Linked DNA regions of Oryzias latipes. The protein of the gene in region 2 binds, or shares a complex with, the protein of the main gene of each other region. Links are inferred from orthologs where the notes say so. Each region holds a gene or a part of one and is shown on either strand. Other genes may lie near its edges.

Region 1 (8,476 bases), on a different chromosome or scaffold from region 2:
CTTTTTTCCCGACAATCCATCGACTCAGAGGCTTTTAAAACCCACCTGAAGATCTTTTTGATTTAGCATTCTATTAGCTTAACACTAGCGCTTTTTGAATTATCGCAACTCCTCCCCCGTTACGCAGTTAACTTTGCATCGATATGCAACACTTCACTATCATCAAGTGTTGCACATCAGCGCAAAGCTGCTTTTCTTGGCTTTTAGAATCCATTGGAATTTCGTCAACTGCTGAAATGGTTAAAGAACTACGGTAGGTCAAAGAAAGCGTGTTATTTATCGTCACCGAGGACAGCTCAGGTGTTAAAGGGTTAATGTACCTAAGTTGATCTATTTTAATTCCTGGTTTATACCGTCTCTCTGTGGTCTTTGACACAAACTCTTAACAATTCTTTCTAAAAGAAAAAAAAGTGCTTTAAAAATACATTTTTCTAGATCTACTTGATCTAAAGAGATCCTTTCCCTGATTTGGCCTTGATTTAACTGTCTGCACCAAAAAAAAAGGCAAATGCAGCACATCAACGTGATGTGAGAGTCCCTGAATGAGCCGATACAAGGAAATGTGGCTGCAGGCAGCAAAGGCTACAGTCCAACAAGGAGCTTCATTATAGCAGTGCACATGTGTATCGTACATCATGGAGTCAGCTGGGAAACTTGTGCGAGAATGTCACAGTTCAGATATTAAACAGGGATCATTTTCTGCAGGGTTATGTAATCCCGAGCACAGCATCCGTCACGGCTGGGAAAAACAACAACACGGGCTTTTTAGAAACTGCAGCGGAGGTTTCACAACGGCGGACAAAGAGGAAGGAAAGACGCTTTCGTTACTCGTCCAGGGGCCGAGTAGGCCCAAGCTTTTATTTTTTAGTCGGAAAAAAGTCCACACCTGAAGGGAAACTGAAGGTGACTTTGATCAGATTTATAAGTTTGGGCGAAACTGAGGAAAAGTCTGCCAATAAATAAAAAAAAACAAGCATTCTACATCTAATAATGTAGAGTTTCAAAACACAAACATCCGAACTGATGTCAAATAAATGATGTATGCAACAAATTAAAGGCCATGTATGTACATTTTGCGCATATTGTAAGAATGAAAATTGTTCAGAAGTGAAAAGTACGTGGAAAAGTGAGAAAAGTTGTGGTTCATCACGAATGAACCATGTTAGAACCGTGGAAGAAGTACGAATAAACCACGCGAAGAACACGTAAATCAACGTAGAATACGTGTGTGATTATAGCGTTGTTTATATTCAATGAATGAGTGATTTGTGCGTCATTATGTCATTCTAACGCGACATGTGCGCCGTATACGTGATATGGAAGTCATACGTTGGTAGTACATGCATGAAAAGTCTGTTAGACAAATGCGGAACGGTCATGGAAAGAAACAAATGTGTGTATTATCTAGCAAAAATTATGCATAATTGCGTTACATTTACGTAATAATTGTATAAACAACATAAAATACGCATAAACTGGATAATTCTCAACTGACGAAAACATCTCAAAACCGAATTCAGGTAAAGACTTGTTGGCTGAAAAACATTTTCCCATAATTTGACTTTTTTTAATCCTTTTCAACTATCTTTTTTTTTCTGAATTTGCACACTTGCACAATGCTACGATGTTAAATGCTACTATGCTAAATGCTACGATGCTAAATGCTAAGATTTTAAATGCTACAATGCTAAATGCTACGATGCTAAATGCTAACAAGGTATACTAACAAGCTGTTCCATGTTGCCTACATGTGAACACGGACCGGTTTAAAGTCATAGAACATTTATTAAACTGTACATTATAAATATTATAACAGACACTTTGTATGGAAGTTTATTAGTGTCTATGCAACGTTACAGAGCCGGCGTTGAGCTGAAAGAAGCTCCCCCCTTGTGACGGACAGGTGACGGACTGAAACCCTCTTCTCATGGGGGCGTTTCTCAGCAGGAAAACACAAACAAATCATTTGTGATTGAAAATAAAACCTTTTATAAAACGGCAAAATCAGAGAACAGAGATTGATTAGAAATCAATACAGACAAAAACTGTTATCTGATAGTTTCTGTTAGCATTTAACTATCTTTTTTTTAACAACACCTTTAGTTTCTTTGCAAAATAATGGAATCATTTGGTTGGTTGAATTTATTTTAATCTACTAGTCAACCTAGTCTCTGTGGGGAGATGATTTCATGGCTGTTGCTACCAAAAGTGTTCTGCTGAGTGCGTTCTAGTATTTCTCTGTATGAGAAGCTCAAGCTAGCGGTAGCTAACAAAACATGTGCTGAAAATATTTTAACAGCTTATATTTAGTTGAACTTTGTTTGGGAGCCAATTTTCCAAAGGAGACGTTCAAATAAAATAGTTTTTGTTAAACATATTCCATCAAATGTAACTTTTGTTAAAGAAAGTAAAAGCCGCGAGAAAAAAATGGATGAAAATCAAATTCGGACTAGGAAAAAAAATCAGAGATTTCATTTGTAGGCCAAAGTTCTAGTTGTTCCCTCTTACAACAAATACCGTAACCGCATACTTTCCAAAGGCTATGTTTACGGCAAAAATGGGAATTTTCTGTCAAAGGTTGCATCCTTCCATGCTTTGGTTTAAATCCTCCGTCTTCTTCTCTTCCTCTACCTTCTGTGCATCAAGCTGATTACATAATTTCCTATTAAAGTCGAATGGGAAATCGGTTTTGCATGACGAACGCCACTCGAAATGCGTTCATCCTGCCAGGTGTTACAAATGTCAAGCATCACCTGTCCTCCATTCTTATTGCAGCTATCATGAATCACTTCTGGACCTAAAAAATTCCCTTTTTAAATCAATCTGAATTATTTCACTTTTACTGAGCTAGAACGTGAAGGTGGAAGGTGCGGCAGCAGCAGCTGTCAGGTGCGTTAATGTCGACACATCCGGCCCGCCCACCTGGGACTAACAGTGCGAGCAGAGGGAGCAGGTCCCACAGGTAGACACACCTGAAAGCCAGCCGAACAGGCATTCTTCCAGCACACCTGTCTTAACGGCAACGTTGGTGAAGAGCCAATCCTGGACTCCGTTTTACGGCCATGTGTTCCAGTTCAAGCTAAAGGAAAGGCTGTAAAGGCCCAACAACAAAAATATTTACCAATGCTGCCAGGCAACAACAACTACAAAAAAAACACTCCTGACTTAAGCCACACCCAGTTTCATATCTGTAACCTATAAAATCCAGCAAATAAAATATCCAGAGCTAAAAATACTCTGCCAGAACGCCGTGAGTCACTGTGGAAACACTTGGGTGGTGAAAAAGGAGCCATTAGGTCACCTCAATAGAAAAGACGGGATATCAGAAGAGCACAGCCTGCAGATAAGAAACGTCTTCAGGCTGAAGGAGAAGCCCAGCCCCAAATTTAAAGTCACCACAGAGAAAGTTGGAGTTTCATGACAAAAAAAAGAAAAACAAGCCTGGCACCAGATTAATGTGCAACCCAAGGAGGTTCCCTCCATGAAACCCCTCAAAACTCAATTATAAGTCAAAAAAAAAAAAAAACATCTGCACTCAAAATCAATTTAGAAGACTTTATGCAACATAAATGTAGTTTTATCTGCAGCTGCAGGCTAATGCTAACATATAAACAGGAAGAAATGCTCCAAGTGATATATGGTCAAATATGGATGGAGATTTTTTTGTATCCCAGAAAGCGTCAATAGGTTAACAACAAATATCTGCTGTCTGTTTGAAGCCCTTTATTAAGGCCTAACGTCTTAAAACCAATCATTAAAAATGAAATTGTAAACTATTTGTTGAGGTTTTTTAAAGAGACACTAGCTTTCAATTCAACTAAATGCGTTCAATGTGATGATTTAAAAGCCCTAATTAAAAACAAATCGATAATTTTCACAGTTTTCAAATAATGCCAACTTTTAAGAAAGAAACAAGAAAAGATGTCAAGCGTTTCGCTCAGAAAACTTTCCACGCGGTTGCGTTTTCCACTGAAAAAGGGTCCCTAAACGCAACACAAAAATGTTCGCTAAGACTCGTCGGTCTGTCTGATGTTTATTTCCCCGAAGCGAGGGCGCGCGTGCACCTTCCGACTCACCTGCATACCAGGAACCTCCATGGTTACTTCGACGTTTGGCCTCCCTTTACTTCCTCCAGGTTTCTCCCCTTTAGCTCCTTCCGTTTATCCGCTCTTCGTCTCGAATCCTCAACCAAAAAAAACTTCGGGAGTAAAGTTGGAATCGACAGAAAGATCCGGTTCTCCGCGACGAGCGAGGCCAACGACGCACGAGCGCGAAAGACTGACAGGAGAAGAAAAAAAGAGAGAGAGAGAGTTTGGGGGCAAACCAGAAGAATGACGAGGTGGTTCCCGCCCACTCTGGGGGGCGGGGCCTCAGCGGCGGACGTCAACCTGAGCCGGAGCACCGGTAACGCCTTCTCCCCCGTGTTCCTCCCTACCTGAAGGACTGCAGCTCGTGATCTCGTGATGCCTTCAGGTTCAAGTAGTAATCTATAGCTCGGAAACTATAATAGGATAACGCCAGAGCTACTTTCCTCATCTAGAAACTACCATACAAAAGATTTACACCTGTTTACGTAAGTAACACCTGAAGTAGGATTTTTCTTTCATTCTATGACAGGGCGATGTGACGACAAAATAAAATGTCTGAATTTTTCAGTTTTATTCTATTTTTTCTCTCTCTCTATACCGACTTTAACAAAAATAACATCATGTATCACCGATAATCTCCAGAACCAATTTGATTCACCGGAGAATGGAGCGTTTAAATTTTTACTTTATGCAGTTCACATACTTAGACATATTTGTATAGATATACGGTAGTAATATGTTTGCAGATATATTTTTGTATTATTCTGATACAGTGCATGTTCTGTAAAATGTATTAGTAAAATAATAAGGCAATGAGATTGTTACCACCAGATAGTGTTACATGAGACAAGCTCCAACAAAAATGTACAGATCATCATGTTCCGCATCTCCTGGAGGGCTGTTTGGTTTGGCCACTAGGTGGAGCACCCACCATAGCGTTCCACTTTATTCCAGACTACAAATATTTACTTTTAAAATAATGTTTCCTTAACCCTTGTGCTATCTTAAGGGCTCAAAATGACTCCACCCTTCCATTGGACGTGTTCTCCCTACCATGACAAAGGTGGATAAAGGTGAAGAGTATTTTATGTAATCCATGGACACCAGTGAAGATCACAAATCACTGAAGAAAAAAGGTTCAGCGCACTGTCTAGTGGGGTCCAGATGACCCCCATCCCAAGATTAACGTGCCTAGGATAGCACAAGGGTTATAAGAGTTTGGAAAATTGCTGTCTGTGAGGATAAAAAGCTGTTCATTTGGTCATCAATGTATGTTTAAGTCATAGAGGAGTTAGCAATAGCCGTCTTATGGGAAATTCCATTATACGTTAGCATTAAACTAGCGGCCTTTGGCATTACTGCTTTTTTGCGTTAGGTCACCGGAAAAGGAAAGGCCAAAAAGATCGATCTCTCGATCGATACTTTTATGGATCGATAAATGATCTATTAAGCTTGGATAGATTCAGATTGATTAATCGATTTCATCCACCCTACCCTAGCAGAGCCGTGACGCATTCAAGTGTACCAATCAAATACAAAAACTGATGGAAATGAATCAACAAATTGAATTCATGTGGCCGAGATGCACGTTGCCCGCAGGCATTTTGTGTGTCCAAGGGTAGATGTCGTCGTTTGTCATACGTCTATTGATTTTGCTTTCACCAAACAACGCAGACTTTTTGTGCCGATAACCGAACCCCAGAAAACTGCTAACTTTAGTTAAATTCCTCAGTTACTACTTATATTTTGAACGTTCATTATGCTGAGGCTCAAGAAATATTGTTTCGTTTTCTACTGTCCGTGAAAGCACCATCGGGTTTTGTTCTGACGTCAACAGGAAGCGGGCAGAAGTGGGTGGAGCCCGACAAAAGATGGCGTTCCTGCGGTGTAAACGGGACCCGTGCGGCGTAATCTGCCTTATTTTGACGTACTTCAGCGTGTTTTACGCGGATTACGTGGTTATCCAGTATGTCCTCATCCCCACCTACTCCGACAGGTCAGTGTGTGTGTCTGTGTGACGGCGCGCGCGCCTCCCTCGAGCCCCGAAACGGCGACGCGTCGTCGGTTCGAGGCAGGGCTTCATTCATTCGACAGCCTCCGCTTCACTCCCGTCCTCAGAAAAACCTTCGTGTTTGTTTGTGGAGTTTGGATTAAGGTGTCCGTGCGCGTGCGCTTTGTTTACGCGCGGATCCAGGTGTAAACAGAGCCTGGGAGGATTGTTTCGTCCAACCAACGGGCGATTTTTTTATAATGGTTACTGTCAGGTCATGAAATATCGAATTGTTAGCCATCAGAGTAATTTGTGGGGTTTTGTTATGTCTGAGACTCAAGACGGCCACATAATTGATGAATTAATTTGTTTAAAGTCTGTTTTTGTTCCGTCCGGATTCTTCTGTGCGGTTTTTATGTGACAACATTTAACAACTCCAAGATCCACTTAATGAAAATTGTTGTTTTTTTTTGTACTTCTTTTTTATGTTTTCGTAACATTTTCCTTGATGCTGGACGTATGTAAAGAAAACTCGGATTAAAATGTAATTTCTGAGAATTTCTTTGTTCCAATCGTTGTGAGTCAGGAGAAAATGAGGCTTGAAAAAGCCTGTAGCAGTGACGTAGGTGCTACAGTGGGCGGGCCACGCCCTCCCTGCTCCGCTCCAATCCGATGCGTCCACTTGTAGACGACTAATATCCTTCTACGTCTGAGCTGGAATCTGGATCAGAACTGGACGGCTGGATTATGTAAGGGTTAATGGCCGACGAAGTGTGCGGTTATTACTTTTTAACGCACGCCGTGGAAGCCTGAACCGTCCGACGCGAAGTGACGCACACTTCGAAGGCCATTAACCCGCTTATACCATGGTCAGTTATAAAAGCAATACATATTAACCAGGTTTTAGTCCTTAATTCTTGTTTTTTTTTTTCGATTTGGAAAAAAGCGGAATATATGTTACGTGATGCAGCGCAGCACCACCGCTGCAGTCAAGATTCGGCGATATGTATATGCTGATCGTCCTGATGGGTTGAATAAAGCAGTGTTTTTCAACCTTTTTTGAGCCACGGCACACTTTAACCTCGACAAAAATCCAGCGGCACACCAGCATCCAAAAATTTAAAAAAAAAAGAAAAAAAGGAAAAGCTCATAGTCTGTATTGATCTACAGTCCCTCTGCAATCTCACATGCATTTTTGTGATAATTGTGGCAGAAAAAGATGGAAGCCGCAGTTGTTTTTTCTAAAATATGTAATAAAAGTTAAGTTAAAAGATTCAAAAACTGTGTTCGTTGTTGTTTTAAGACGTTAAGAGGAGGGACTCATTGTGCGCTAAGACTTGCGCTGTCACTTTAACCCAATGCATCATGGGAGATGTAGTGGAAAAATCCGCCGAACACAGACAGACTCGCGTCTCTGAGCCTCATTGTTTTGTTTACTTGTTCCACGGTCTGACACCTGATTCTGTAGAAAGCTACACCGCTAAAGACGAGCTTTAACTGGTATTTTTGTTAGAACTGAGTGACTTATGAGCTAAATCGAAACAACGAGGTGAAGACTTTAACCACTTCTGATTGGTCAGACTGATGACATGTGATTAAGCCTTCAAGAATGATTGGTGGAGACAGTTAAAGGGACGGGACTTTTCAGAAAACAGAGTTTAAGATGCGGCTAAATCGTGGTACTGTCATTCTTATCAAAATGTCTGTAATAGAATCAAATAAACACAAAGAAAAAAGTATTTTACTATCTTTCATATTCCTAACTTCTCAGTGTTTTATCAGGGCCTGTTTGGATGAACACAGAGCTGATATCCTTAAGATGGGAAATGTTTTTAGATCAGTTAATGAGGGCAATTTCCCACGGCACACTTGACTATCTCCCATGGCACACTAGTGTGCCGCGGCACACTGGTTGAAAAACACTGGAATAAAGCATCAGTTCAGAGAGAAAGTTCTCCTCTTACCGCTTATTTTTGTCCAAATGATGAAGCAAAAGGTTATTTTAAAGAAGCCGGCGCAGTGATACAAAACATTTAAGATAGCTGACCGGAACTTATTTTTTCACCGTGCGGTTATCAGGTTTTAATGCACACCCAGCACCCAATCAGAATCGAGTATTCAACCGGACCATGGTATAAAGGTCTGATATTGCTCACCGTTTTCTTTTGCACCGCTAATGGGGGTGGGAGGAGATGTAAACTAGCGGGAGAGCACGTAAACAGAGGGATGATGGGAAATTAGTGCAAACTTCCTCCGTACCACTAAACAACACAGACTAACTGGATGCTAGAAAACGACACAGATTTCTTGGTTCTGGCTAAAAGCGGCATCAAAAACACCGGGACTGCTTGTACGATGGATCAAAAGATGTTGGGAGTGGGACTTTCAGAGATGTGGA
Region 2 (7,838 bases):
CCCGTTTTGTTATCAAAGAACTTGATGTGGCGGTCCTCGTGTGCCGTGATGGTGATGGGCAGCGTGGGGTGACTCACCACTTTGTTGATGTGGTTCAGAGACGGGCCGGCTGCAGACAAACGCCAAGTTACATCGGGAGAAAACAGACGCCGCCGGAAGCATCGGCAAATGCACGGAACTTACTGCCGTCTCCTTGTCCTTTCAGCACCACGGCGGTCTGTGAGGTTTCCAAGTCGTAAATGGCCACGTCTCCTCCGTTAAAAGACGCCACCATGTGGGCGGGGTCACAGCCGTTGAAGTCCACTGACGTGGGGATGCCGTGTTCTGTGCACACAAACCTCAACAGGTTAAAAAACACTTCAGATTTCAGGCCATTTTAACTTTCAACTACTTGAGTTCCTCAGGGATCAATTTTAGGACCACTCGGTTTTTCTGTTAGCCAGAACTGCAGGGACCTGGTTGTTGGAACAATTCTTCTTTCTAACTAAACCTTTGAGCAAAAAAATACCCCCCCCCCAGATGGGGGGTGTGTGCTGCAGGGTGGGTGGGTGTGTGTGTGTGTGTGGGGGGGGTGCGCTCCTCACCCATGTCTGTGTTGAAAGTGCTGATGCAAGGCTCTTTGGCCGCCGGGTTCCATAGCTTCACCGTCCCATCGGCTGAGCAGGAGAGGAGGCGGTTCTTGATACCACTGTAAGCCAATCCCCACACGGCATCGGTATGCCCCGCCCATGTACCTGCCAGGACACTGGAGTCTGAGGACACATGGAAGGCAGACACATTCAGGCTCGTGAAAGCAGGGGGAGGGGTTTAGAAGAGTTGGGGTGTGGACGGCGGGACGCGTTCAGGTGAGGACGAATCGGTCCGTACCGTAGGTATCGTAGGGGTCGACGTTGGAGCCGGGGATGTTCCACCACTGGATGGTGGAGTCGATGCCGCCGCTGAAACACTGTTCACCTGTGGAGGTCATCGCCAACGACAACACTGGGCCCCTGAAAGAGGAGAAGGAATTATTCTAAAGATGGTTTCTAAGGAAGGTTCCCCTCCTGAATTCATCGACCCTGAGAACTAATAAATCTTCGAGTCTTCCACACGGTTCCACATTCAGAGCTTTCTGTTTGCTTCATGTTTGGAGTACGTACTCGTGTCCCCTGAAAGTGTAGATGGGCTCCACATCAAACGAGGCACTTCTGGAAAACAGTGAGAAGAACAGATCAGATCCGCTGAAGAGGCGAGCGGGTTTTCAGGCCAAGCTGATCCTAAGGACGCGCTCTGATGGGTGGGAGGGAGGAGCTGGCGTACTTTTTGGCCGGGACGGTTTTGGTGAGGTTCCACAGCTTTAGGGTGTGGTCTTCCGACACGCTGACCAGGCAAGGTTCAACGGGATGGAACGCCAAGGCTCGGACGCCGTCAAAGTGGCTCCGCAACGTGTACTTAGGATTCCACGTTTTCCTGAAGGAAGACTCCTTACTGGAAGAGAGCTGGGGGAGGGGGGAAGGAGGAACATGTGAGAACCTTCACGGGGGGTGGGGATGTCACAACACTCGTGTTTGTGGGTCTCTCACATCGTAGCCAAAGTCCACCTCGTCGTTGGTGACGCAAATGTCAGCGAGGTCGCCCAAGCCCAGCATGTTTTCCAGGGCATCGTCTGAGCCCCCCAGCAAGAAGGATTTGCCCCCACCGCTGGAAAACGGCAGAGGCTCTGCTGCAAAGACAAACTTCCGTTGGCACACACTAAAAAAGCTCATATTAACATCATCTGTTCTAATGAAACCAGTTTTGTTTCCTTTAAAGACGCGCTCTCCAGCTAGCTTACAGCCCTTCACAACCCCACCCTCACATTAGCGGTGCAGCAAAAATGGCCAACATTATCAGGGCTTCCAGTCAGTTTTCTTTCTGCTCCCGATTCACAACAATTTGAACAATGAAATGGGACTGGGTGTTACTACAACTTCCCACGATCGATTTGATTCACCAGAGCCTGGATCGACTTTATTCACAATTTTTTTTTACACTTTAGACATTTTTGTATAGAAATACATTAATAGTCTATTTATGTTTTGAAGATATTTGGCCACTAGGTGGAGCTGGCGCTATAGCGTTACAATTTATTCCAGAAGATTTGAGCAAAAGAAATTGTTGTTTTTTAATATTTCCTTAAAATAAATTGTAAAACTCCTGCAAGGGAGCAAATAAAGCTGTTTATTTAGTCAGCAGTGTTTACGTCGACCGAGTGTTAGCATTATCTGTCCTATGGGAAATTCCATTATATGTTAGCATCGAGCTAGTGGAATTTGGCTTTGCTGCTGTTATGCGTTAGGTCACCGGAAAAGAAAGACATAAAATATTAATCTTTTGTTCTTTGGTCATTGGTTTATTAAGCTTGAATTGGTTTCAGATTGTTTAATTGATTTTATTAACCTAGCCCTTCAAAATAAATACCCCAAAATGCTCAACCGTCATAAGTCCTCCTTTCTGGGAAAAAGCTTAAATAACATTTCAATTTTCATTGGAGTGGGTCTTTAGCATAATCTTTTCTAATAAAATCTGTTTATTTCTTCAGTTAAATGATTTGTTTAAAAATCTACCTTTACATAATAAAATAAGCTTTCATTCTGAATTCAAACTTGAACTGAAATTGAAGGTTTTGTCTCAGAAATGTCAAAGCTTTGGTTCAGTTCACCGACTCACCCCACTCCGTCCCGTCTCCGGAGCTCCGGGCCTCCCCCGCCCCCTCTCCATCCTCTGCCGTCACCAGGAAGTCAAACTCCTTCATGACCTCCTCTGTGACGGCTTCGTCCTCGGTGGCCAAACCCTCGTTCCCCACCTGGAGGGACCAGAAGCAGAGGAGTGAGAGGAGCCCTGGAGTTCTGCAGAAGGAGCGGTCCAGGTTTGAAACGGACCTTGGTTTTGTGTTTTTTGGCTCTGCGGTGTTTGTCCGTGCCGAGGTCGTCCATCAGGTCCGCCTCCTCGTCCTCGTCGCTGTCCTCCGCGTTCTCCAGGAAGTTGAACGTCTCCAGGTCGTCGCTGGGAATCCTGCTCACAGCACCATGCAGGTGACCCTCCACAGCCTCAAGCTGGGGACCTTCGTTTGACTGACGGCTCACCTCTTGCCGTCTTTGCAGCGCTCCGTCCCGTTGATGAGGTGCTGCAGGTTCTTGTTCTCCACTGCGCCGTTCTGCTCGGACCCGGACAGGCCGAGCAGGGAGCGGACTCTCTGAGTGCGCACGTCCAGGATGGTGTCCGTGTACCCGACTTCCTGAAGGTACCTGAACACAACACGGAGTCAAGTCTCTGCTCCTCTGCTCGCGCTGATGTGGCTCGTGAAAGATTGTGTCTCTGAGGAGCTCAGACTGACCTGGACTCTGGGAAACAGCATTTTAAAAACATGAAAGAGGGGGCGGAAGGAAGCGGGTCTTACTGTCTGAGAAGCTGCCGCCCTTGTTTCCACGTCAGCTGACTGTTGGCAGGAACCGCCGACACCTCTGAGTCTTTGGCGTCTGCGGGGCGAACACAGATAAACGCTGAGCTTCACTCAGCTGCTGCACTGCAAGGACACTACAGAACGTTTTCCTGAAATGTTCCCACGGACGGGAGCTGGTTCACTCACGAGAGGTTTGCGTTTTTCTCAGGGGAACCTGAGGGAAGTAGGGGTGTGTATTTGCAAGAGTCGGGCGATACGATACGATACGTATCCCGATATTTTACGGGAACACATTTTCTTTCTTTTTAAAAATAAAAAATATGACTTAGAAAAACTCTACCTGAATTTCAATGCGTCTTTTCATTGTAATGTAATGGTCAAATTCAGTTTATTTAATGATCATAATGTTAAGCACTGTAACTGTATCTCATACATAAGTTGCTTTTACCAAAGCAAATTCATAGAGCTTTTATTTTGGTAACATAAACTATAGAATCACTATTATTTTTCCAGAAACAATAAAGTGTGATGATGAGGCAGCATGACAGGATGAAGGAGAGCGTCTTAATGTGGCTAAGACGCTTTGTTTGCAGTCTGCACTGCAGCTCCTTCTCACACACGGAGGTCAACTAGTAACGGTTATCGCCACGACGTTGCCCGTTTTTCAGAGCGTTGTAAACGTCACTCTGCTCTAACAGGTCGCTGAACTAGAATCTATTGCTGAGAGGTTCTGCAGAACTTTGGCCCACTTTGCCGATAGCATTTTGGCCGATGCTAAGTGCATTAGATTAGCCGCTGTGCAGCTGCACTGCTTCACTCGTTTTTGTCCGAGTCCGCTAAAAAGCACCACAATTCGCGTTTTTATATGTTAATTGCAGCAACATGGAACAGAGTTATGGTTCGGTTCCCATCCCAAGTAAAAATGAAGTAGTTCATGTCGCATGACAACGAAACAAGCTGACTCTGGCTGCAGTCTTCCTGTTGTCTTGTGTGTAGAGCTCCTCAAAGAGGTTCCATGTTCTCTGCTGCCCACTAGTGGCCGGAGGTTGAAGTGGACAGCAAGAGTCAGACGCTGAAGACGCTGAAGAATAATTAAATAAATATCGTCCTGACAGTATTTTGAATCGATACGAGTATCGCCAAATGAACTATCGCGATATATCGCCGAAACGATTTTTTCTAACACCCCCTAATTAATGTATTAAAGCAGTTTTCTCATCCGATAATTAGCATTTAATCCATCAAATACGTTTAGGAAAGAGTGAAAGAAACAAGAAATGAAACTGAGGAAGACTTTCAGACCTGATTCAAAGCTTGGCATCTTCATCTCTCCTTGGTTCAGCTCTGTTCCATATTTTAACTTGTGATATTTCGCTCTAGGAGGAAGAGAAAAAAATATTATTTATTCTTACAGATGTCAACCTCAAAGATCAAGTTCAAAATCTAAAGTCGTTTCATGTAAACAGACTTTGAAAACATTGTTTTTTTAAATTGATTTCTGCCTTAAACTTTTCTTATGAATTCAGTTTTAAAGTTCTGCAAACTTTCCTAAAAACGTTTCTTTTCCTGACTTTTTCAGTCCAGTCCTTATTGCTGATCCTCTTCTGATGCCTTTCCCTCAATTTTCTGTTTAATTGTCTAAACAAAAAAATATATCTGATATGTTATGAAATAAATGTTTGATATATTTTGAATTGGATGTTCAAAAGACCAAAAGCAAAGAGAAAAATCTTAATCCTTTTAATATAAAATTCTTGTTTTTAAAAGATGAAAATGATTTTAACCACAAGGGGAATCAACTTTAAGCTTGGGTCAAGGTTTTTCACATTGATTCTGACCTGAAACTTGTTTTTCTGCTATGAAATCACTTCCAAACGAACCTAATTCTCTGTTCGTAAAGTGAAGCATTCCCTCTGGATTTTAGTCGTTTTCCTGTTTGAAGGCAGAGATTTTTTTTTCTTTGGTCTCAAACATTTAGATGATAAAATGAATAAATTGAGATGAGTCGGGGTTCCTACCTTTCCTGTTTTAAAGCATATTCTAACATCTTGATTCTTCGAACCAGATCGTTCTTTAGGTTCTCCTGGCCCTTCCTCTCCCCCTGCAGGAACGCTATCCGGGCCTGGAAAGACGCAGAACAGAAACAAATGTTTCAAAACTCTTATGTACACAAAAATATTGTGTCAAGAAAACAACCGAGTCACTTCCAGAGAAACCAAATCCTCCTGGATCTTCTCTTTATGATAGGTTTCTGAAAGATATGGGAGTCACTCTTTAAAGATTGTTTACATGGTTGTTGAGTTGAGTGAGGTCATGTGACACCTACATGAATCAGACACTGGAAAGGAGGTTCGGTGAGCAGCTCAGCCTAAATGTATGGCGATGACAAACCAGACAGAGTTCCTGTGAGTCATCGGGAGCTTCTCAACACCCCTGACCAAAACAGCACATGTGGGCTGCAGTTATTCAACCACGTCACCTCATTAAAACGCCACTGTCGTTGTGTCAGTACAGCTATTTAAGACCGACGACGTCACACTGTCAGAGTTTTGCTCTGAATTCATGTCCAGAGGAGCAAAACGTGGCTCTGGAAGCTGGAAGATACAATACAATTGATTTTTTTTTTACATTTATTTTTGGCTTTTTGAGGTTGCTGTGTAAACATCTAGTGCCATCTAGTGGCAACATTGCAGAAGAACAAAAAGACTTAAAACATGAGGAGGAAAAATTTAATAAAATCTAAAAAATGAAAGAATTCGACAGTTTCTAATAAAAAAAGAATGATTTAAAAACACATTTATTATGTAAAATATTGTGTACATCAATAACAGCGCAGACATAATGCCATAACAGGAAAAAAAAGCATATTTTGGTTAAAACTAACTCCTTTTTCCTCGTTATTATAAACCCACCAGTGTCTCCTTCTGCTTCGTGAGTTAAATTTTAAGGGAATTTAAATATCAAATCTCCAAAAGGGAGATCCATGCAGTTTGATGTGAGAGCCTGACGTTGGTTCAGGGTCACCTACTTCTATAAATATCTGATTGGACCATCCTTTGGGTTGTGACATCACAGACCAGGATCAGAGCAGAATCCTCCGGCCTCTTCATCATCCTCATCCTGGAGACTCACAATACGTTCAATGGCTCTGAGGAGTAACCTTATTGTTCAATGGTGATGAAATGATATCACTACCAACACTCTCATTTTGTTTTTAGCCTTTATTAAAGCGTCCCCCCCCCCCCCCCCCCGACAGAAACATCTCCACAGCTGAGATGATGCCAGATATTCCTTCTAAAAACCCAAAAGGGTCTGCTTCTGTCACACAAACTGAGATGTAGAAGCAGCAGATCTGCTGCTGGACACGGCAAAGCCAACACACACCTGGAGCTCCATGAAGAACATGGAGCAGCTCCAGATCCCGCTTCTCTCATCGGGAAGTCATGTTTGTTTACAGGCTGTTTCCAAGGAGAAATCCACAGACTTCAAATGGAAAATGTACAGGAATTCATGTAAATAAATAAAAAAACTGACAGCAAATAAAGACCTAGAATGCAGGAGATCTTCCAGAGGGAGGTGTGACCTGAAAGATGCTTCGCAGCCAACCAGAGAACCAGAAAAAGCCACTTTTCTATGTATAGGTTGATTAAAAAAAACCTCCAGAATCACGGATTTGAATCGGTAAGGTCATTCGTTTAGGGTCGTCTGACTGTCACGAACAACATCTGACCAACATCTGGTCCAAATGTCAAAACAGCACGATTAACGTATCCACGGCGGCTGCAGGCTCCCGATATCTCAGTTGAGCCACGGGCTCCAAAGCTAACGGCCAACGCACTCAGACTCCCGGCTGGATAACAGACCTCCACGCCGGTTACTCGTCCCCCTTGACATGTCAGTGGGGCTCCGGTCGCTACCTTAAATTCACGTTAATACGTATACCGATAAAAGGTTATTTGAGATCCCCGGTGACTGTGGAAAAAAAGAAGCTAACCATGCTAATGCTAAGCAGCTAACCCATAGCGACGGACTAACCTGGAGTTCGGCCCGCTCCACCTCCCAGTGCGCCCTCTCCATTTCGAACCGGGCCCACTCGTGCTGGATGTAGTGTAGAATTCCCGGGATAGTGTACTGCTGCTGTGGCCGGGCTAACTCGTCCGTCTGCTGGGGCACCATGACCGTTCCGATGGGAGGTCCGGAGTTGCTCCCGTGCTGCTGCAGCGGCGGCGGCCGCGGGGAGGCCGCTCCTCCCCCGCCTGGGTGTTCGTCCATATTTCGGGTTTTGTTAGAACGTGCGGCGCCGTTTGTACTTAATGATTAGCTAACCGATTTTAAATATTAAAGAAGGAAAAAAAAAGGCGCCGAAGGCCTCGCGCGTCTCCGCCGGGGTACTTGTCGCGCTGGCACCGCCGCCGTG

What was found. The genes of interacting proteins can lie anywhere in the genome.
Region 1: strn3 (region 2) and stk26 share a complex: the UniProt entries of both Homo sapiens proteins name them as parts of the core of STRIPAK complex. The link is inferred for Oryzias latipes from reciprocal best matches to the Homo sapiens genes STRN3 and STK26.

The regions. Positions count from the first base shown.
Region 1 is NC_019876.2:4,717,639-4,726,114, forward strand, and holds the start of stk26 (serine/threonine-protein kinase 26), read right to left. Parts: upstream 4,311-8,476; 5' UTR 4,098-4,310; coding exon 4,077-4,097; intron 1-4,076. Other genes in the region: palmitoyltransferase ZDHHC3, read left to right, coding at 5,960-6,084. UniProt on the Homo sapiens protein: Serine/threonine-protein kinase that acts as a mediator of cell growth. Modulates apoptosis. In association with STK24 negatively regulates Golgi reorientation in polarized cell migration upon RHO activation.
Region 2 is NC_019880.2:2,597,383-2,605,220, forward strand, and holds part of strn3 (striatin-3), read right to left. Parts: 5' UTR 7,694-7,838; coding exon 7,457-7,693; intron 5,544-7,456; coding exon 5,440-5,543; intron 4,798-5,439; coding exon 4,724-4,797; intron 3,498-4,723; coding exon 3,419-3,497; intron 3,267-3,418; coding exon 3,105-3,266; intron 3,034-3,104; coding exon 2,901-3,033; intron 2,825-2,900; coding exon 2,689-2,824; intron 1,703-2,688; coding exon 1,563-1,702; intron 1,479-1,562; coding exon 1,300-1,478; intron 1,188-1,299; coding exon 1,140-1,187; intron 990-1,139; coding exon 868-989; intron 753-867; coding exon 585-752; intron 325-584; coding exon 184-324; intron 110-183; coding exon 2-109; intron 1-1. UniProt on the Homo sapiens protein: Calmodulin-binding scaffolding protein which is the center of the striatin-interacting phosphatase and kinase (STRIPAK) complexes.